Linked DNA regions of Caenorhabditis elegans. The protein of the gene in region 1 purifies or fractionates together with the protein of each later gene. This does not show direct contact. Each region holds a gene or a part of one and is shown on either strand. Other genes may lie near its edges.

Evidence for each region. Proteins that work in one complex are often made in the same cells at the same time.
Region 2: the proteins of tasp-1 (region 1) and F43C11.8 fractionate together in Caenorhabditis elegans (co-fractionation; one large-scale study listed by BioGRID). This does not show direct contact.

The regions. Positions count from the first base shown.
Region 1 is NC_003281.10:10,753,609-10,764,322, reverse strand, and holds tasp-1 (TASPase homolog), read right to left. Parts: upstream 4,939-10,714; 5' UTR 4,769-4,938; intron 4,655-4,768; 5' UTR 4,557-4,654; coding exon 4,523-4,556; intron 4,472-4,522; coding exon 4,389-4,471; intron 4,336-4,388; coding exon 4,232-4,335; intron 4,181-4,231; coding exon 4,032-4,180; intron 3,980-4,031; coding exon 3,849-3,979; intron 2,861-3,848; coding exon 2,637-2,860; intron 1,970-2,636; coding exon 1,904-1,969; intron 1,722-1,903; coding exon 1,517-1,721; 3' UTR 1,317-1,516; downstream 1-1,316. Other genes in the region: dpy-28 (Condensin complex subunit 1), read right to left, coding at 163-380, 1,049-1,176; K01G5.10 (Haloacid dehalogenase-like hydrolase domain-containing protein 3), read left to right, coding at 5,805-6,092, 6,139-6,237, 6,288-6,647; rnf-113 (putative E3 ubiquitin-protein ligase rnf113), read left to right, coding at 6,686-6,823, 6,887-7,619, 8,342-8,625; Chromobox protein homolog hpl-2, read left to right, coding at 8,813-8,854, 9,129-9,302, 9,570-9,808.
Region 2 is NC_003280.10:2,327,413-2,338,126, reverse strand, and holds F43C11.8 (RING-type domain-containing protein), read right to left. Parts: upstream 5,608-10,714; coding exon 5,532-5,607; intron 5,487-5,531; coding exon 5,320-5,486; intron 5,208-5,319; coding exon 5,139-5,207; intron 4,613-5,138; coding exon 4,048-4,612; intron 4,003-4,047; coding exon 3,933-4,002; intron 3,882-3,932; coding exon 3,857-3,881; 3' UTR 3,789-3,856; downstream 1-3,788. Other genes in the region: enri-1 (Enhanced Nuclear RnaI (RNAi), T. Duchaine), read left to right, coding at 1-165; F43C11.7 (RING-type domain-containing protein), read right to left, coding at 475-545, 592-850, 958-1,006, 1,054-1,241, 1,310-1,384, 1,435-1,604, 2,115-2,190; ZK1240.1 (RING-type domain-containing protein), read right to left, coding at 6,413-6,433, 6,485-6,525, 6,577-6,886, 6,941-6,995, 7,045-7,232, 8,169-8,237, 8,281-8,450, 8,518-8,596; ZK1240.8 (RING-type domain-containing protein), read left to right, coding at 9,075-9,150, 9,197-9,426, 10,412-10,599, 10,647-10,689.

The DNA of each region.
Region 1 (10,714 bases):
CTGCTTTTTCAGGAAATTATCAATGAGTTTTGGGCACTTTTTTCCTCTTAAAATATAGCAAATTTGAACTTTTTCGTGGTTTTTTAAATTAAAAAAAATTCTCTTCAAAATCGGGTTTTAGAGCAATATTTTATACTTCCAAAATTCCACCAAAAAACGCACAAGAAACGAGATAATCGACGACTTTGAATCGATTTTCCCAATTCTCATAAGTAGAAGCTCGCCGTGAAAGTGAGCTCAACGATGGAAAGAACTTTGGAATTCCTCTCCAATCAGAAATATCCGAATATGAAGAGAAACTGTCGATATCCTTATCGATTTGTTCGGATGGAATATTATTGTCAGCTTCGGCGATGATTTCCGTGATACTTTTGAAGCCACTGAAAAAAAAAATTTGAAAATTTAGAGTTTTTGACAGGAAAAAAACAGCCTTTTTCTCGGTTTTTCAGGAGAAATTTGAAGAAATTTGTGATTTTTTTTTCATATTTTGTTTTAAAAAATTCCGATTTACTTCTGCATTTTCTGTGGAAATTTAAAAAAATTATTTTTGATTGAGGAAAAATGGAAAAAAAACTGATTTTTCGGTTTTTGAAATGAATTTCAAAAAAAAAAACGGAAAAATCCATGGTTTTTCTTTTTTTTCTAGAAAACGGTGCATATTTATTAAACTTCACAGGAAAAATTCTTTATTTTACTTTTTTTTCTAGAAAATTCCATAAAAGGTTCTGTAAAAAATTATATATTAGTTTTAAATGAAATTAAATGAAAATTATGGGTTTTTCAGTGAAGAAAGCATCGAAATTATTGCAATTTGCAGAGAAATTTCAGTAAAAATTGAGAAAAATATATCTAAATCTGGAGTTTAATTGAAATTTTTGAAATTTGATATTAAATTTTTTTTTTTGAAATTATCGGAAAAAATTAAGTTTTTTATCGAATTTTAAACTGATTTTTTTAGTTTTTTATGTGAAAATTGTGCACGAAATCTGATTTTTCTCACGAAAAAAAAAACTGAAAAATCTATAATTTTCCAACTGAAATTCTCAACCTCAATCCATCATTATTCCGTGTCGGCTGCTGCTGCTGTTGCTGGCTCGTCGAGCCAAAATCCATATCCTCATCTTCATCTGAAGTCGGTGGTGACGGTGTAGTGACAACGCGTTGTTTTCTCGGCATTTGTTAGGGGAAAAGCCTGTAGAAGGGGGAAATTAGTTTTTAAAAAATAATAACAAATCAGTGATATTTCTAAGCGAGCAAGTGAGCACTAGAATAAATTCAATAAAAGAAAAAACAATTAAAAGTTTAAAAATTAAAATATTTACAAAATTCTTCATTTCATTTTAATTTCAAATCATAAAATATTCTTCAGCGGAGGATTGAGAGAGAAATCGGATGGAGTGGGGGAGTTGTTTTGTATATTTCCGCATTCAAACCCCGGAAAATTCCGAAAAAAAAACACAATTTCCAGATTTTTCTAAGTTTTAAACGCGGAATTCTTGATATCATATACATATTATTACATGATGAATGACTCGATAACACATTTAGGATCAGTAGTACATTGATCCGGATCGAATTGTGATTCAAAAACACGAATCTGATTGTCTCGACAACGAACTGCAGCCGGAAGATATCGACAATTATGGAAAATCAGAAATTCCAGCGACATTCGATCTTTGAATTTGTCGGCGATCAATGCGATGCCACCGTATCGGGATCCACTGCAAAAAAAATCAATTTTTCGATTTTTCGAAAAATATATATATAAAGCTTTATTATGTTTTTTCATCAACAGATACAAAATTTTATGAAAAATTTCATTTTTTTCGAACTTTCGATGTTCAATTTTTCAATTATTTAAATATAAATATGCTGCTCTGAATGGAATAATAAATCTACTTACTGTTCCATTTTTTCGTGTATGAATTCTCGAATAATCTCACTGTACATGATACCCTCCTCGTCGTCTCTGAAAGAAACAAAATTGATGCGTTGTTGTTATGGTAACTAGGGTCTCGCAGCGATTTATCTCTTTTTTTTTAGTCGTAAAATCTTTTTTAATATTAAATTTTCTTTTTTTTACAATTTTTAAAGCTATTTGTAAGGGAAATAATTTAAAAATTGTTAATTTATCAATTGTTTGCCGATTTTAAGAGAAAAAAGTTTAGAAACAGTCAAAAATTACATTTTTGTGCTACATTTTCAAGAAAAACGGTAAAAAACTTGGATTTGCAGTTTGTTTCAGATCACAAATATATGAAAATCTCGAATTTTGAGCTATTTTTTGCAGAAAATAGATAGGAAATTGTGGATTTTTGTGCTAATTTTGAGAGAAAATTGCCTTTGTAAAATTGTAATCGCTAAAAACGTCCCAATTTATGCAATTTCTACAGAAAATGGTCCTGAACGCGCAAAATCCCCGAATTTTAAGCAACTTTTTTAAAAAGAAAACTGGTCAGAATTTCCAAAAATTATAGATTTTTGTGCTAATTGTTCGAAAAAAGATTCAAAAATCATCAAAATTGTGGATTTTCATGCTGATTTACATCTAAAACTGCTCAGTTTTAAGTTATTTCTACGGAAAATGATCCAGTGCGCGCAAAATCTCCAAATTTTCAATAATTTCCCAAACTTACAGCACTCTCGTGGCGATACCCCTGCAGAAATCGGCTTTCACAAGTGATTCACCGTGTCCTGTCGAACAAATCGAGATGGTTCGTTCACTGACTTGATCAAATGGTTCTTCGTATTGCCTTCGTTCAGACCATGTTCCACTTCCATATACACAGCTGTGACCAAGCCGTCCCGAGTGTTTTAGCACAATTCCACCGCTTGAAGTACCGGATTCTGAGTTCATTGTCTGCAAAAAAGACATTTTTCGTGGCGAAAATTGGAAAAATACGAAATTTTGATAGAATTCAGGGGGAAAAACTTTTGAAAATCGATTTTTTTTTTGCAAACCAAATTGGCATTTTACTGAAAAGTGGTAATTTTTTATTTGAAAACCGTTTTTTTTTTTCAGAGAAATTTAGACCCAAAACCGGCTAAAATAGAGGAAATTCGAGATTTTTATAGAATTTTGCCAAAATGGAGTTGACAATCTGGTTTTTTAAACTCGTATTTCGATCGAAATAGCTTTTATACGTGTGATTTGCCGGAGAAATGCTAATTTTCAATTTTAAAACCTGTTTGTTCCGGGAAAAATGAAAATTCCACAAGGAAACGTAGAATTTTGATAGAACTTTGGTGGAAAATAGATTTAAAAATGGGATTTTCCACCTTTTTTCTTCAGAAACTCACATTGAAACTGCTTTTTTTTCATAGAAATATAAAGGAAAATGCTATTTTTCGATTAAAAAACTTTTTTTTTGTGGCCAATTCTGGATCGAAAACGCGAAATTTGCATCGAAATTCGGCGAAAATTTTTTTTTAATCGGATTTTTCAGCGTTTTCACAGAATTCAGCCTAAATAGCTTTTTTACGTAAGAATTTAACGGAAAATACGAATTTTTCATTTTGAAAAATCGGACTTTTTGGTCAAAAAGTAGTTAAAAATATATTTTTCGGATTATTCTTGGAGTTTAATAGAAGAAATGCTAATTTTCGACTAAAAAAACGGTTTTTGTGGACAATTAGGCAAAATCTGAGTCAAAAGGGCGGAATTTGCATTGAAATTCGGTTTTTTCTAGCAAAATATTAATGAAAATGCCATTTTTTCGAAAAAGGCTTTTTTTTTCGGGAACTCTGAAATTTCTTGGGATCTGATAGAAGAAATGCGCTAATTTTTCATATTTTGAACACATTTCCCTGAGAAAAGGAACCAATCTCGAATTTTCCTTCATCCTTACATTGGTATTAATTGAAATAGCTCCTACAGTGTCATGTGTATCATATGGATGAAGCATTCGATGTAAATACTTCTCAAAGCTCTCTTTCGCCGCTTTTGATACGAGTTCTTCAGGTGTACACGTTGGAAAATCTGAAAATCCAATGATTTTTCGAGATTTAAAATTCAAAATTCAGAAATTTACCATTTTTAACAGCATATTTCTCTGCTCCACGACCAACAAGAATAAGGGGATGAAGAAGACGTCGCTGCTTCCACCAATTGCTATGTGCAAGGTGACGTGCCACTCGGGACGGATGGAAAACGTTGGAAATCGCGCCGACCGCGCCGAAACTGAATTTGAAAATAATCGGTAAGGGAGAAATGTATGGTTTTTAGGGAAACCTTAAATTTTTGGATGACATATATGATGCTTCACATTCAACTTCTTGATCGATAGTCAAATGTGAGCCGAATCCACAGTTGAACTTTTCTATTCTTTCAAGATCCTGCAAAAAAAATTAAATATATTTCGTGAGAAAACCAAAAAAGAATTCCTCACCGTCAACGCATTCTCAACAGTGCCTGTACCACACGCAAAACGGCAGTCCTCGGCAAGACTTGCGTCGAATTTAGCACACGCACCTGCAAGATTTAAATTTTGCCGCAAAAAATCGATAATTAGTGTGCGCAAACCTCCGTGCACCGCGATTATCTCGCAGTTGCTCATTTTTTGAGGTTTTCTTCGAGTAGAACTCCACTGAATCGATGTTTCAGAAGGATTTTATTATCTCCGGCCACCAGGACGGGAATGTCGTATTTGAATTTCTGAAAATTAGGAATTTAAACTACCTATTTTTAAATTTTCTGTATTTATATTTTTATTAAATGAGAAAATAGAATACAAAACAAAAAAAACGTAGACGTAGAAGAAAGTCTCACTTCAATTAGCTCTGGCGATTCTTGGGCGAGATTTTTCTCGACGACAACAATCCCGGGATGCTTTTTAAGATAGTTTTTGAGTTGTCTGTGAAAATGTACGCACAGCGAGCAGTTTTGCGATGAGAAAAGCACGAGTTCGACGGGTTTGGACGAGGAGAAGGAGCGCTGCAAAGCACGAGGAAATGTGATCATTTGAATTGGCGTCAAAATCACATGGTAAAACTAGGCCGCGCATGACCTGAGCACGAGACACTCTCTCGGCCATTTTCAAGTTGGCGCGCTGTGTCACACACTCCGGTGGAGCGTGTTGTGGCGGAGTGTATGAGAAGTGTGCGAGTGGTTTGCGTTCGGCGCACTCCGCCCACTTTTTCCGTGCCGCACGCGGGTCTTTCGAATTTTATCGATTTTTTAAAAGTGTTTTTTTAGTTTATTTTTGTTTTTGACGAATTTATGAGGGATTTCTTGCGATTTTGGATTTTAAATAAAGAAATAGGTTTAAATATAAAAAATATCTTTAGATAAAGTATTCCTAATCGATGAAACAAGTGGAGTCAAGGAAATCTCTAGTTTTTCCTTCTAAATACTCGAAGCAAGCCAAAATGAACGAATTTTGTGATAAGATTTCTTTTAAATTGTTCAAAAATTGTTATTCTGTTCAAAATCAGGTGTTGGAAATTAATTGATTTTGGCTGAGAAATCGTTATTTGGAGAGTTTGAACAGTAAATTGAACTCTTTTTTTTCTACAGAAATATCTCTGAAATTCGGATGCAAAAACCTTTTTTCTTTTAAGAAGCCTAGTGTTATCCCTATGCATCTCGAAAAACTTCTCAAAAATTCCTGATGTTTGAATTCGAAAAATCGATTTCCGATACTTCCAATATTATTTTCTACGAAATCGTCATTTAAATAGTTAAAATGCAGTATTTCCGTCGTTAAAATATTGTTTTCGGCCAATTTGGAGGAAAATTTTCAATCAACACACTAACCTTTTCTTTGGAAATCTAAAAAAAACTCTAGATTTCCATATTTAGCTCAATGCTCTCCAACCTGCTCCGTACAACTTCTCGTAACCTTTCCACCCCTCCAGTCGTGAAAGTTCTCTCCCTAGATGCTCGTGATACACTAATCACGATGAAAGAGTCTCCACCGATAGTTTATTCCCGTTTCGCGAGGCAATATGATTTGGAAGTCGACTCCGATCAAATCATGGGAAGCTTTCTTAAAAATTATAAACGAATGAGCATCGCATCGCCCTGCTTTGGGTTCAATGGAATTGGAAACAAAAGTTGGTGGATTGAAGTAGTTTCTTCTACGCTTTTGGATGTAGGTGTAATCTGAATTAGGCAAGTCCCCTACTTGATAGTTTCAGTGTGCTCCGGATTCTGAAAAAGGACGGGTTGAAGTGATCGCTGGAGCTTTGTACAATCACTATGCAACTCCTGAGCCGTGGAAACTAGTTGAAAGCGATGTAAATTTTGTGAATTGTTGAAAAAAAAATACTGCAATTTTTCATTTTAGACGCGCCAAACTCTGCAAAAACTTCGCCTGAAAGGAATCATCCTGGTTGTCATCTCCAATTTCGATAGTCGCTTGAAATCTCTACTTTCTCAATTCAATTTACTCGATCTTTTCTCCATGACAGTTCTCTCCGGCGAAATTGGGTACGAAAAGCCCGATGAGAAGATCTTCCAGCTAGTTGTCAACCATTTCGATCTAATTTCTCCCTCGGAAATCTTGCACATTGGAGACAATTTGAAAAATGATTTCCATGGCGCCAAAAATTTCGGCTGTAGAGCTCTATTGTTTGATTCATCTTCCTCTCATAATGTTGAACCGTTTTATTGTATTTCTCGTTTGTCAGATTTGAAGCTTTATTAATTAATTGAATTTAATAAATAGTTTTAATTTTTCAGATAATGGATCTCTTCCGAAAACCGAAAAAGCGCAATGCACCCGTCGTTCGTAAAAAGGAAAGCTCAAGTGATGAGGATCAAGATTCAGAAGTGAAGGATGTGATTCAAAAGCGACGTCGTACGAATCCGATGGTCCAGTCGGTGAGATCTTGGTACTTTAGTGCTCCAAAATTTTGGAAAATCCCAATAAACTTTGAAATTCAGACCAAACAACTAGACGCCTCAACACGACGTGCTGATAATTCATCGGATGATTCTGACGACTCTGACGACAATCAGGATATCGCAGTAGCAACTCACTCGTTCGCCGCTTCAGGAGATGCCGGTCCATCTGGACCACGTGATCAAGGTGCCACTGCAACACTCGAAGTGGACACAGACTATTCACACGATGCCCAGGCTCAATTCGAACGAGTCCAACAGCAACTGAAGGAAGGCGTCGAGAAAGACGGAAAAATTCTGTACAAGGGAAGTGCACTGTATGGAGCCAAAGAGGCGAAGGATACGGCCAAGGGAAACGCTGCAAGTGGTTATAATCGAGTTGGGCCCGTTCGGGCGCCACAATTTCTACGACAAACAGTCCGTTGGGATTTTGCACCGGATATTTGCAAGGATTACAAGGAGACTGGATTCTGTACGTTTGGAGATTCGTGTAAATTTGTGCACGACCGATCGGACTATAAACACGGATGGGAGATTGATGAGGAGTACGAAGCAGGAAAATATGGTGCTGAAGACGATGCGAATTACGAGATTCATGAAGGCGACGATACGTTTCCGGAGGATTGTTTTATTTGCGGAAATCCATTTGTTGATCCGATCGTGACAAAATGCAAGCACTACTTTTGCACCGGTTGTGCGTTGAAATCGTTCCAAAAGTCGTCAAAATGCCCAATATGTCAGCAGAATACTGAGAATATTATGAATACCGCAAAAGGTTTGAAATAGAACGATTAATTCGTGATTTTCGCAAGTTTTGGAAGGTTTTTCGGCGCAGTTTGATACTTACATGTTACGGAGGATACTGCACGTGGACAAGCGTGAATCTTTTTTCACATTTTTTGGACAATAATAAGACATTATAACTAGAAAGAGAGGAGGAGCCTAATTTCGCAACTCTGCGGCACGATTTTTCGACAATTTTCCACTGTTTTTTTTTTTGGTTTTTTTTCTGGTTTTTTTTTCCAAAAAACTTCGATTCTTCCTGTTTTATTTTTTTTTACGAGAAAAAAATCAAATTTAATTCGCATAACATTTCGATTATAGTTCATATTTTTACAACCAATTTAGCTTGAAATATCCTCCCAATCTAATGTGAATTAAAAGGAATAAAATCGAAACTTTTATGGAAAAACCCCAAAAAAGAAAAAGGAAAACCGTGCCGCATGGTTGCAAAATTGGTTGCAAAATTACGTTCCGCCTCTTTTTCTGCTTTTTGGAAAACTCATTTCTTTGGTAATTTGGAATGTTGGAAGAGAATCAGCGAAAATAGTTCAAAAAAGTAAATTTCAGCCAATAACTCACAGTTGTCCGGGTGAAGTACAAAATCCTTCGTAAATTTACATGCAACAAACCGCGCTTTTAATCCAAAACTTGCGAAATTCACAAGATAGTAGCTCGAAAAATGTGGCAAAAAAAAATTAATTTTTAAATTTTCAGAGCTCCTAACCTACCTGAAACGGAAGAAGCAACAACAGAAGCAAGAAGCCGAGAAACAGGAAGAAGAAAAAGATAGTGACGATGATGAAAAACCACACGAATGCGACGATCACCATCATCATGATCACGAAGATGAGCCCGAGGAGCCTGAAAACGACTCAAATGTTCCAGAAGCCGAGGAGAAGAGCGATGAGGAACAGGAGATTATGATGGAGGATGTGGAAGGGCTTGAAGGTGGAGAAAATGACTCTGAGAGTGATGATGATGATGCTGAAAAAGATTGATAATTTTTATTTTTTTTTTAAATATTTCTGTACGGTGATTGTCTGTGAGTAAACTAAATATGATTTTTTTTCTTGTTCGAGCCTTTTTTTAATTTCAAGATATTGTTCGAATCTTTATTCCATATTTTTTCTATGTTTTTTCAGATTTCTCCCATTTTAGCTCAAATTTATTTCAGCAATTTCAAAAATGTCGAGCAAATCAACAAAGCGAGCAAAAATCGAAGATCCGGTATGGAACGGCGAAAAAACCAAAAAATCTATTTTTACAACAAAAAAAACTAAAAAATACAATTTTGCAACGAAAAAAAACCAAAAAACAGTCCATTTTGCAAAAAAACAATAAATCAATTTTTGCACTAAAAAAAATATTTTAAAAAAACAATTTTGCAACAAAAAATCTATTTTTGCATAAAAAATCCAATTTTGCTAGAAACAAAGCGACAGTATAAGTTCCCCGACAAAGAAAAAAAAAGTCACATTTTATTCAAAAATCTGATTTCCAGAAGGACAACGTGTTCATGGTGGAAAAAGTGCTGGACAAGCGAACTGGAAAAGCCGGCAGAGACGAATTTCTCATACAGTGGCAAGGATTCCCCGAGTCTGACTCTAGCTGGGAGCCGAGAGAGAATCTCCAGTGCGTCGAGATGTTGGACGAGTTTGAGAGGGAATTTTCAAAGGTTTTGAAGAATTTTTTAAAGTTTATTTTACTTGAAATGGTCCTAAAAAGCGAATTTCATAGTGAAAATTGTTTGAAAAATCTTCGATTTTGCCCACTTTTCCGTGCTGCAACTGTTTAAATTAGATTTTTGTTCGATTATTCTCCTATTTTCACACGGAAAAGCTGGTAAACTTGAAGATTTTAACTAAAATTAGGTTTTTTAGAGTTAAAATTACAAAGTCATAAAATCCGATTTTTCTGCAACAAACTTATTTTATTTTTACAGAGAGAGAAACCAATTCGCAAACGACACAGCCAGAAGCCCGAACCTTCCGAAGATCAAGCGGATCCAGAAGAGGATAAAGATGAAAAGAAGGAAACGAATCAAAATGACAAATTCTCACTGGAAGGCAAGCAGTTAAAATGCATTGTCGGGCTCACCAAGGGACCTGGGGAACTTCATTTTCTGTGCAAATTCAGTGATGACACGGCACGGCTTCTTCCAGCGAAGGAGGTGAACAGTCGGTGAGTTTGGGAATTGCTCCCGGTTGATTAAAAGTGTATTACGGAAACACTCCACCCAAAAACTTTAAAAGTATCCGAAAAAAAATATTACGGGAACACAAAATTCTGAGAATGCGTATTGCGCAACATATTTGACGCGCAAAATATCTCGTAGCGAAAACTACAGTCATTCTTTAAATGACTACTGTAGTGTCGATTTACGGGCTCGAGTTTTGAAATGGATTTTTGTTCAAATAGTGGCATTTTTGCTTAATTTTAATATTCTATCGGTAAATCAAAAAAATATGATTTCGAAAATAGAGCCCGTAAATCGACACAGGCACTACAGAATTTACTGTATTTACTGTACTGTAGTTTTCGCTACGAGATATTTTGCGCGATACGCATTTTCAGAATCTTGTGGTCTCGTGATACGCGTCGATGGGGATTTCACTCTAAAATATGCCGGCTGTACTGCACATAAGTGCCGAAATACCGAAATACCACGAAAAATATGAAAAATTGGACTTTTTCACTAAGAAATTCGAGGAAAAACGGAACAATTGCGTTTAAATTGATAAAAACCATGGCGCGGTAATTCAAACATTCAAAATTTTTCTGACTATTCTGCGTATTTAAAACTGAAATCCCGATCGGCGCTAGAGTTTTTAGCTAGGAAGCGAACCTCAATTTGGCATTTAAAAAAGCTCTAAATTTCAGCTATCCGAGCCAAGTTATCAGATACTACGAATCCAAGCTAACAATCCAAGACCCAAAAGCCGACGAGCTTTAATCACTCCCCACCCCGATACACGTGTTCAATATCATGTTCTCTCATCTCATTCCCATATTCTTTTTGAATTATCTTGTAAAATCTATACCAATTTTTGTGCTAACCCCTGAAATCGAGACTAAATATTATTGAAT
Region 2 (10,714 bases), on another chromosome or scaffold:
TTTGACATTTACAATATGAAGCGCCAACCCGATGGGACTTTTCTCATACCGAGCCACGTCATGGGCTTCTGCAATGAGGATCTCAGTGAAGATGATGAGGAACCGGATCCGGAATATGATTCGGAGGAAGAGTATAATTGGATGTATAAATTGGATGTTTGGTAATTTATGGATCTCTTCTTTTTCTTGCATGACAACGTTGAACCCAAGAATAAATGTGTCTGAATGGTTTTTGAAATAGCCGAACTAGTCTAGGGGCTCCATGGAGGCTCCAAAATCTTGAGGCCCTGAGACGACCTCCGCCTGCCTTGCGGCGTGGAACCTGAAAAGTTTCGGCTGGGTAGGCCTGAAACCGGGCCAATAGTCCATTTACAGTATAGACTACAAGAATACATACAAGACTACAAGTCGGCCTGTTAAAATACAAAATGAGAAGACGGAATAAGCTTTATGTATGTATATTGATGTTTAACTTCAGCTCGAATCTTCAAATCGGAATTCTGGAAGCTTCACATGCAAGGTTTTCAATTCCATTGGTGGTTTTTCTGAAAATTCATATATCTATTGGGGAGATAAAACTCCAAACCCCACCTTTAACATCCGAGAAACTAAAGGATTCATCATTCCAGTCAACCTTATCCTTCACCCGATACAACTCGAAATCGGTCATCCCGACGAGCTGTTCCACTTCCTCACACTTCTTCTCCAGTAGATGCCTGATGACATGATTGGAGATTTGACCCATCCGATTGTCCTCCTCACTGGTCAGCACACTCTTCTTTAACACTTCCTTTGAAGTCTTTTCTCGTTCTGCAACAGAGCTTCGGATTCTGTCGTAGTGTCGTGTTATCTGAAAGTACAACTTACTATAAGGTTTAGGCTTAATCTTAGGCTTAGGCTCTGGCTTAGGCTTCCACTTAGGCTTAGGCTTTGAAAGAACCTGTAAATGAAACTCACCTCATCGTATTTCTCCTTATATAGCTCATCATTCTTCTTGAGAGCAGCCCTGAAAACAGGAAGTCGCTTTTTTCTACAAATCACTTTTAAGCCCACTTTTCCAGTGCTTGAATTTTATCATCAACCTGTTTCTTGTTGACTTGAAGCTTCCTTTGCCGCTCTAGAAGGTTCTGCCTAACTTTCTTAGCTTCAACCTGCAGAAGCCCTTTTCTATGTCCTGCGTGGACTCCGAACTCCTCACAAGTCCGGCACATCAGCTTGCTTCGACTGGAGCAGTTTGGACTCTGAAGAACTTTGGTCGATGCGCCATGTCTTGCAATTTCACGCATCATGGTGCATCGACCAAACTTACGATACAAACGAACTCGGCCAGATTATAAGTGTGCTCCTCGCAATTTGGTGGTGCTCCAGATGATCTTGGCTCAGTCTGATAGTGTGTAAAGTCTTCAACAATATTAATGAAAAATTCCAACTTACAACGGACTCATTGATATCATTGAACAAGCTTATAGCCTCTAGCAATGCAAAATTGGTCTGCAAGTTTTCATTTTCTCGAAGCTCAGTGGTTTTTCGGCAGAATGGGCACAGGATTTTGAAATTAGAGACTAATTTTGAAGAGCAGGCCTTGCAAATTGAGTGACCGCAAGCTGAAAAGTGACTTGCGAGTTTTGATGGTCTGTATGGCTAGTTAGTCAAGCCTAAGTCTCAGCCTAAGTCTACGCCAAAGCCTAATCCTAAGCTTAAGAATTAGCCTAAGCCTAATCCTAAGCTTAAGAATTAGCCTAAGCTAAGCCTTAGCCTAAGCTAATCCAGGCCATCCAAGTTTAGTTATACTCGGCATTTGGTCCGAAAAGTATTGACTTCGATCAGAATTTAGATAAACTTGGTCAAAAATTGGGCAAAATTTTGACATTTTTTGGATTTAGGCTTTAAGCGTAAGTTTAAGCCGACACAGCAAAAGTTTCGGGCCAACGTAACTTTTGGCGCAGCCTGAATGCAAGAATGGCCAAACTCTTGTTAAACTGTCCGGATCTAGTAAGATGATATTCTTGGGCTAATCATGGGCCTATTACATTTTAAATTTGGACGGAGCCCAACGCAACTTGGAACATTTTTTAGCGTAAGCTATGCAATAGTGGTCTCAAGTCAAAACTCACTCAAATTCTTGGGATGCCGATTTGTGATCACATTTGAATAGTCCTCGGTGCAAACTCCGCATTTCAGAAACGACATTTTTTTTTCGAATTTTGTTTATTTTACTGGCCAGTCGACAGAAATTAGAAAATGAAATTGAAACTACACTCTTATCAAGGTCGTTGCTTCCTCACTCGTGCTATTCTTTAGATAACCAATTCACATGTCAATTTCCCAAAATTCACTTGTTTGCTCCAATTTCTACTTGAAATTATTTCTAATATGAAAAAGGAGACCCTCGCTTTTTAGTAGTGACGTCACAACCCTATGACGTCATACCATATGGTAAAAAATTTGCGGAACAAAACCAAAACAAAAAACAATTTATTATAACAATTTTAATTCAATAATTCAACAATTAATTCCATAACGAGATCACCAATTTCTGAAAAAAAAACTCGTAAAAATCGGAACACAAAAGAAACATTTTCCAGAAAAATAACTCACTTTTTTTTAGGACGATGGTGCACAAGAGCAGAAATGAAAAAATAAAATTTTTTAAAAATTTGATATAATTGAAGAAGTAAGTTACTATGACGTGTCTGACGGTGGGAGTTGTAGCCGAGTCTGGAATACAGAAAAAAATATTAAGGATATTAGCAAGTTTTGCTCACCTTGAAACTTTTAAAATAAAAGTTTTTTTTTGCTCAAGCATTTATTCGACCTGTCGAGAATAATTAAAACCAGCAAAGTTTAGTAGAAATTAACATAAAATCAATAGTAGAGAAAAAAGGAGGGCGCACATTCCGTAGGCACCCAAAGGAGATGGAATGAGGAGAGCCGCGGAGCCAGCTCAGCGATAGAGCTCAGTTGCTATGGTGATCATAATCTTCTTGAGCATTATCTTGGTGAGCAAAAATATTAAAAAATAGCTACAGGCGCATGGTAACCATAGTGATAATCTGATAATCCTTCCGTCTCAGCGATTTTGAGTCAAATCTCTTGGAATCTTTACCCATGATATCACAAGCGGGTTTTTCAATCGCTCAGGGGTAAGCGGCAAATAATTTTTCCGGCCAAATTGGCCAAATGGCATATTGCCGGAATTGAAAACTTTTGGCAAATAGGCAAATCGGCAAATTGCTGCACTTGAAAATTTCCGGCAAATCGGCAAATCGGCAAATTGCCGGAATTTAAAACTAACTTACCAGTTTGCCGAATTTGCCGGAAAAACGGCAACTGTGGAACATTTTTTGCCAAATTGTGGTCTTGCACATTTTTTTGGAAGTTTCAGAATTTCAATTTTAATCGGTAAAATTGTACGCATCCTATGAATCTTCTTATATCTATTTTGAAATTGCCAAAATTGAAAATTTCCGGCAAATTGACGCAGTTGAAAATGTCTTCAAATCGGCAAACCGGAAAATTGCCGGAATTAAAAAATACCGATGAATTGGCAAACCAGCAAAATGCCGAAATTGATAATTTTCGGCAAATCGACAAACCGGCAAATTGCTGAAATTAAAAATTTCCGGCAATCGGCAAATTGCCAAAATTGAAAATCTCCAGCAAATTGCCGCATTTGAAAATTTCCGGCAAATCAGCAAACCGGCAAATTTGCCGATTTGCCGAATTTGTAGAAAAAAAACTCTGAAAAAGATTGGCCCATGTCTGTTCGCTTTTGAAGCGCAACAAAATCATCAATCACATTTTTATTTATGTACAAACATTTTCAATTAAATATCCTATAAAACCGTCGTTGGCATCAATCAGAGCAGCTAGCAGGTTGTCTGAAAAAAAAAACTTTTATATAAAAATTCATATTTCTCTCGTTAGCTTACCTCCTAGCCCTGCAAAATTCTTCAAACTCGCGAGACAAATTGTTGTCAATTCTAGAAACTTTCGTGACTTCTGAAAAATCCAATTTTTCCAATCAATATTTTTTCAAAGACCTACGTATGACAAGCCTATCCATCTCTGGAAAAATCAGTGCTGCGTCAAAAACTTCAGGCTCAACATCAGCAAATTCAGTCCAGAGCTCATTCTCGCTGCTCACTTCCAGCGCAGAATTCACCGCGAGCAAATCTGCATTGCTCATTTTCATAAACAGCTTCAGCTCCGCACTTTTTCGCTTTTGCCGGTTCAAGGATTCCGATAGCTCTGCGATGAGCAGGTCGTTCGTGAAAAAGTTAGTTTCCGCGATGTTCTGAAGCGTCGCAAGAGCATCGTTTTCGAGAGCATCCAAGGTTTCTCGTATTGAAGCGTAGAAGGCTATTATCGAAACCTTTTTCTCTTGAAATACCTCCCCATCGTCGAGATTTGTTAGCTGAGCTGTTCCGATCTTTTCGATATTCGCATCAATTTTACTTGCCAGGTCTTCGGATCTTGAAAGCTTCCCGCTCAGAAACTGTCTCAACTTTGCCGCTTCTGATTGTAGTAGGCCTCGATTGTGTCCGGCGTGAGCTCCAAACTCTTCGCAGGTACGGCACATGAGCTTATCGCTAGATGAGCAGGTGGGCTCCTGGAAAGAATGCTAGTTTCTCAGGCAAGAAGAGGTGCATTTGGCTCTAGCTTCTGGCCCAAGTTTGGCGCAAAAAATAATAACTTGTTTCAGACGTTGAGCAAAAGTTGGGCAAAACTTGGATTCAAACTCCACCAAAGTTTAAAAAAAGGTTCAACCAACTCTGCCAAACTTCTACATAAGTTTGAAACGAAATAAGAGAAGTTTGGGCCAAACCTTTGGTGCAGCCTGAATCCGAGTTTTGCCAAAGTTTTGCCCAAGTTTAGCAAACTTCTGATCCAAGCTAATATTTTTTGGGCAAAACTTGGCCAAGAATTTATAGCCAAATGCCGAGCTTGACCACAAAAGTTGAGCAAAATCTAGGCCAAGACTTTGGCCTGAACTAGGCTCCCACGTACCATTATTTTTTGGCTATTAACCTCGCACTCTCAGAAACCGGCGAGTTGTCGGCTGCTAATAGTAAGTTTTTTAAAAAATTTTTTACAGTTGACATTTTGGGGCCTATCAAAACCTATAAAGAACTCACAATGCACACAAATTCCGCAAAATTGTACTGGTGAGAAGCGCATTTTGGCGGTGAATCAATGGGATCTTTCTGAAAAATTTTATATTTGTATATAAATATATATATGTATATATAAATATATATATGTATATATATATATATATATATTTATATGTATAACTTTATTTCTAGAAAAAAAAACCTCTTCAGTTCTAGTCTTAGCGTGTTCAACTGCCTGTAACAATGCAAAATTCTTCTGCAAATCCTTCACTGTACTGACATTAGTTGCTTCCCGGCAGAATGGACATAAAATCATAGAGTTTTGGAGCAATTTTTCTGCACAACCATGGCAAATTGTGTGGCCACATCCTGAATTTTTATTTTTTAATTTTAGGAAAGGTAGCAAAAGCTTACTCAAAATCCTAGGAATATTTTCATCGGTGGCACTTGAGAAATCTTCGTTGCAAATTTCACACTCAATAAATGACATTTCGGAACTGTACGGAGGGTTGGAAAAATAAACGAATGGTCTTGGGAGTTCTCCCGCTGACACTGCGATAAGACGATAACAATTTGGTGACCAAGAATACACGGAAACCGGTAAATATTTTTTGCTGACTCATATCAGTTTAGATACACCATTTTCAACACTATTGCTAATTCTATGTGGTCAGTTACTACGGATTTCGTAATAGTTTTTCGTAAAATAAAACGTTTTCAGAGCCTGGCGCCTGCCTGAAACCTGCCGAGCACCTATAGCACTGTTTGTACGGGAGCGGGCTTATTTTAGAAAAATCGAAAAATCGAAAATTTTCGTTTTTTTTTTTGATTTTTCGAAATTTTTTTCTCTTATCAATAGAAAAAAAATTAGATAAAAATCGTATTTTATGATTAATTTTTAGATCATTTTTTTTTTCGATTTTTGGATTTTCCGGAAAATCGAAAAAACGTAAATTTTTGTTTTCCGATTTTCAAGTTTTCGAGACTTAGGCTTAGGCTTATGCTTAGGCTTTGATTTAGGCTTAGCCTTTGGCTTAGGATGAAGCTTAGGCTTAGACTTAAGCTTAAATGTAGGCTAGGCGGAGAAAAAAGAGATAAAAAATAAATCCTAGAAAATATGAGAACTCAGAAAAATAAAATACCAAAAAATTAGACATTTCAAAAATTTATATTGCCCGAAAAGGGCCAAAAAAATCAGGATTGGAGAGTTGAATTTTCGGTTGTTTATCGGTATTTGTACAAAGTAAAAAATGATTGAAAACTTTAAAACCAAAAAACTGCCTTGTTTGGAACATTCAAAGCCACAGGGTTATATTCTGAAATTCATGTACCTATAATACAAATGCTAAATTATCATTAAAACCTACATCTGGCTCCAGAGAGCTTGACATTGAAGCATTTGCCACATCTACAAAACTTCCTGACATTGATCTACCAACTTCCTTCCAAATCCACTTACCCACAGCTAACCTGTTCACTTCTGGAAAATTTAATGCTACATCAAACTGAATAGGCTCAACTTCTGTATTTTCCGAGTCATCCCAGAGCTGAATTTCTGAATTTAGAGCTAACAAATCCGCGTTGCTCATTCCCAGAAACGACTTTAATTTCTCGTTTTTCAATTTCTGGGTTTCCAGGGATTCCGACAATTCTTCTAGTAGTAATTTATTGCTAGCTGAATTGGATTCTGCAATTTCGCGTAGTTTTTGATTTGCAAGGGCTTCCTGGGCATCTAAGGTCTCTCGTATTGAGGTATAGTAGACGGATATCTGAAAATGTTCTGGAATTGTATTTCGTCCCCGTTTCAAAAAAAAATCACTAACCAAATCTTTTTTATCTTGAAACACCTTCCCATCTACTTGATTTGTTTGCTGGGCGCTGAAATTTCAGCGAGCTAAAATTGTGATCTACCGCTTTTTAAACTAACCTGTCAACCTCTTCAATGTTCTTGTCAATTTGAACAATCTGATCTTCGGACTTTAAAAGCTTATCTTTGAGCAACGTTCTCAATTTCAAAGCTTCCGTCTGTAGGAGGCCCTTCGAGTGTCCGGCGTGAACTCCAAACTCCTCGCAAGTTCGGCACATTAGCTTTTCGTCGGAGGAGCAGTTGGGGTCCTGGAAGGAGAATTAAGGAAGGTTCTCGAAGATTCCAGAATTTTTCTTAAATTTCCCAGAAGGTTCTAGATCATTCTAGAGTTTTTTTGAAAATTGCTAGAAGGTTCTAGAACATTCCAAAATTTTCTAAAATTTTCCAGAATGATCTAGAGCATTACAGAATTTTCTCGAATTTTCCAGAAGGTTCTAGAACATTCCAGAATTTTCTAAAATTTTCCAGAAGGTTCTAGAACATTCCAGAATTTTCTCGAATTTTCCAGAAGGTTCTAGAATATTCCAGAATTTTCTTGTATTTTCCAGAAGGTTCTAGACCATTCGGGAATTTTTTTTAATTGCTAGAAGTTTCTAAAACATTCCAGAATTTTCTCAAAATTTACAGAAGGTTCTAGACCATTCTAGAATTTTTTGAAATTTGCTAGAAGGTTCTAGAACATTCCAGAATTTTTTATAATTTTTTCAGAAGGTTCGAGAACATTCCAGAATTTTTTTGGAATTTTTAAGAAGGATCTAGAACATTCCGGAGATTTTTTTCTAGAAGTTTCCAGGTTTTTTTTTGAATTTTCTTAGATGTTCTAGAACATTCGGGAATTTTTTTTTAATTGCTAGAAGTTTCTAAAACATTCGGGAATTTTTTTAATTGCTAGAAGTTTCTAAAACATTCCAGAATTTTCCCAAATTTTCTAGAATGTTCTAAAACATTCCAGAATTTTTTCAAACCTTCCAGAAGGTTCTAGATCATTTCAGAGTTTTTTTGAATTTTCCAGAATATTCTAAAACATTTCAGAATTTTCCCGAATTATCCAGACAGTTCTAGTACATTCCAGAATTTTCTTGAATTTTCCAGAAAGTTCTAGACCATTCGGGAATTTTTTTTAATTGCTAGAAGTTTCTAAAACATTCCAGAATTTTTTTCAAATTTTCCAGATAAAAACTCACAAGACAAACGAACTCCGCCATATTATATTTATGGGTCGCGCATTTTGGCGGTACATCTGCTTCATCTTCCTGAAAAACTTTCTCATTAATTAAATTATCTAGTATATCGTACCTCTTCTACACGTTCAGTTTTCGTGTGTTCAATTATTTGCAGCAGTGCAAAATTCTTTTGCAGATCCTTTACCGCACTGACACTTGTTGTTTCCCGGCAGAATGGACAAGAAATCGCCGAGTTTTTTAGTAGTTTTGTCGCACAGCACTGACAAACCGAGTGGCCACATTCTGAATCATTTACCTATTTTTAGATTCAAGCTTCGTATTCGTATTTGACAGAAAAAAATATACTCACTCAAAATTCTTGGAACCTGATCTTCATTGACACTTGAGAACTCCAGATTGCAAATTTCACATTCGATAACTTTTGACATTTCTGGAGACTGGAGAATTTCGAGAAGAATCGGGGAAAAAACTAGAGAAACGACCGGGTGGCTGACTCCTTGTTGACACAAATTTCCAGTTGATAACGATTTTTACGGGCTCGTGAGAGTTACGCAAAAACTGATTGTAGTAGGTGGGCATGGTTTTGCCTAGGAAGTAGGCATAGGCGAGTAGGCGCCTGCCTGTCTACATATAGGTACCTTTGGCAAATGACATTTCAAGTTGTGTAGTAGGTATCGGTTTTGCAACTTATAATTGAGTTTGAAATGTAATTGAGTTTGTAATTGAGTTTGAATGTGTTATCTATTTTATGCTTATGACTCAAAAAGGATACAACTCGTATTTTTTAATGAATTATGAATCATACGAAATTCTTGAAAATACTCACTTTTTTCGTGCTTCACAAGGAATTATATAAATACTCTTACTAATCTATTTTGTTATCTAATGCTCCTTTAGTGACATGAAATGGCAATTTTTGAGTGTGAAGTTTGCAATGAAGATTATTCGAATTTAGATGAAAGTCGTGCTCCGCGAGTTTTAAGTGAGTTTTTTTTTGTAACTTCTGTAAAATATTTTCGAAAGTTTAGAATGTGGTCACTCGATTTGTCAGAACTGTGCAGTCAAACTAATCTCGAATTCTGTGATTTTGTGCCCAAAAAAGTGCTCTGAAACAACAGAGGTCCAAAATGGAAATGTGGAGAGCCTGCAGAAAAATTTTGGTCTGATGCAGGCTATGGAGATGATGGAAGCTAGTTCGAGTAACTCACCGCCAAAGTGCAAAGAGCATCGATATAATATTGCGGAGTTTTTGTGCAGTGTAGGTTAAGCTGATAAGCAACGAAAGTTTCATATAAATTTTTTGAAAGTGAAATTTATGGTTTTTTTTTGGGTATTTCTTAAAGTTTAATATCTGTAACACTACTGTTTTCAACTGAAAACACATAGTTGAATGTTCTTTTTGATAAGGAAAACATGGTAGGATATGAAAATTTCGAAAATTCTGAAATGTTTTAGAATATTCTGGAAAATTCAAGAAAATTCTGAAATGATCTAGAACCTTCTGGAAGGTTTGAGAAAATTTTGGAATGTTTTAGAACATTCTAGAAAATTCAAAAAAATTCTGGAATGTTCTAGAACCTTCTTGAAAATTTGGGAAAATTCTGGAATGTTTTAGAAACTTCTAGCAATTAAAAAAAAATTCCCGAATGTTCTAGAACATCTAAGAAAATTTTAAAAAAAACGTGGAAACTTCTAGAAAAAAATCTCTGTAATGTTCTAGATCCTTCTAAAAAATTCAAAAAAAATTCTGGAATGTTCTCGAACCTTCTGAAAAAATTATAGAAAATTCTGGAATGTTCTAGAATCTTCTAGCAAATTTTAAAAAAACACTACTGTTTTCAACTGAAAACACATAGTTGAATGTTCTTTTTAATAAGGAAAACATGGTAGAATATGAAAATTTCGAATTTTTTCAAAAGAAACTGAGACGAGCAAAAGTTAGCGCTAGTGGGAAAATGTTAGAAAAGACTCCTATGGAAAAATTTCAAAAATTTTTTAAAATGTTTTTTCTTGGCAAAACGTGGCAAAACTGAGAGTTTTCCAATTTTCAAAAATTTAGAAGTTAAAAAAAATTTAAACTATGATATTTGTGAATTTTGGAACCAGAGAAGTGGTTTTTAACAATTTTCCCACTGGCGCTACTCCATATTTAACTTCAAAAATTTTGTGTTCAAAATGCTTTAGATTATTTGAAAAATTGGAAAGAGTTGCGTGAAAATCAGTAATAAATTCTTAATTTCCAGGAGCACGACTGTCCCTCAATCGACAAACTAATGTGTAGGACTTGCGAGGAGTTTGGAGTTCATACAGGTCATACAAAAGTTTTGATGAGTGTAGAAGCTGGAAAAATTAGAGATGTACTGGAATGCAGGCTGAAACAGATGAAATTGAATGCTGAATCATTCACAGTGCAGCTAGAAGAATTTAGAGAGTAGGTTGAGAGATTAGAAGATATTTTGCAAATTTTCAATTTTTCAGAGCTATGTCAAATAGACAACTTTTTATTGAAAAGCTTTCGGAGGTAGGCTTTCAATTTTCGAAGTTAT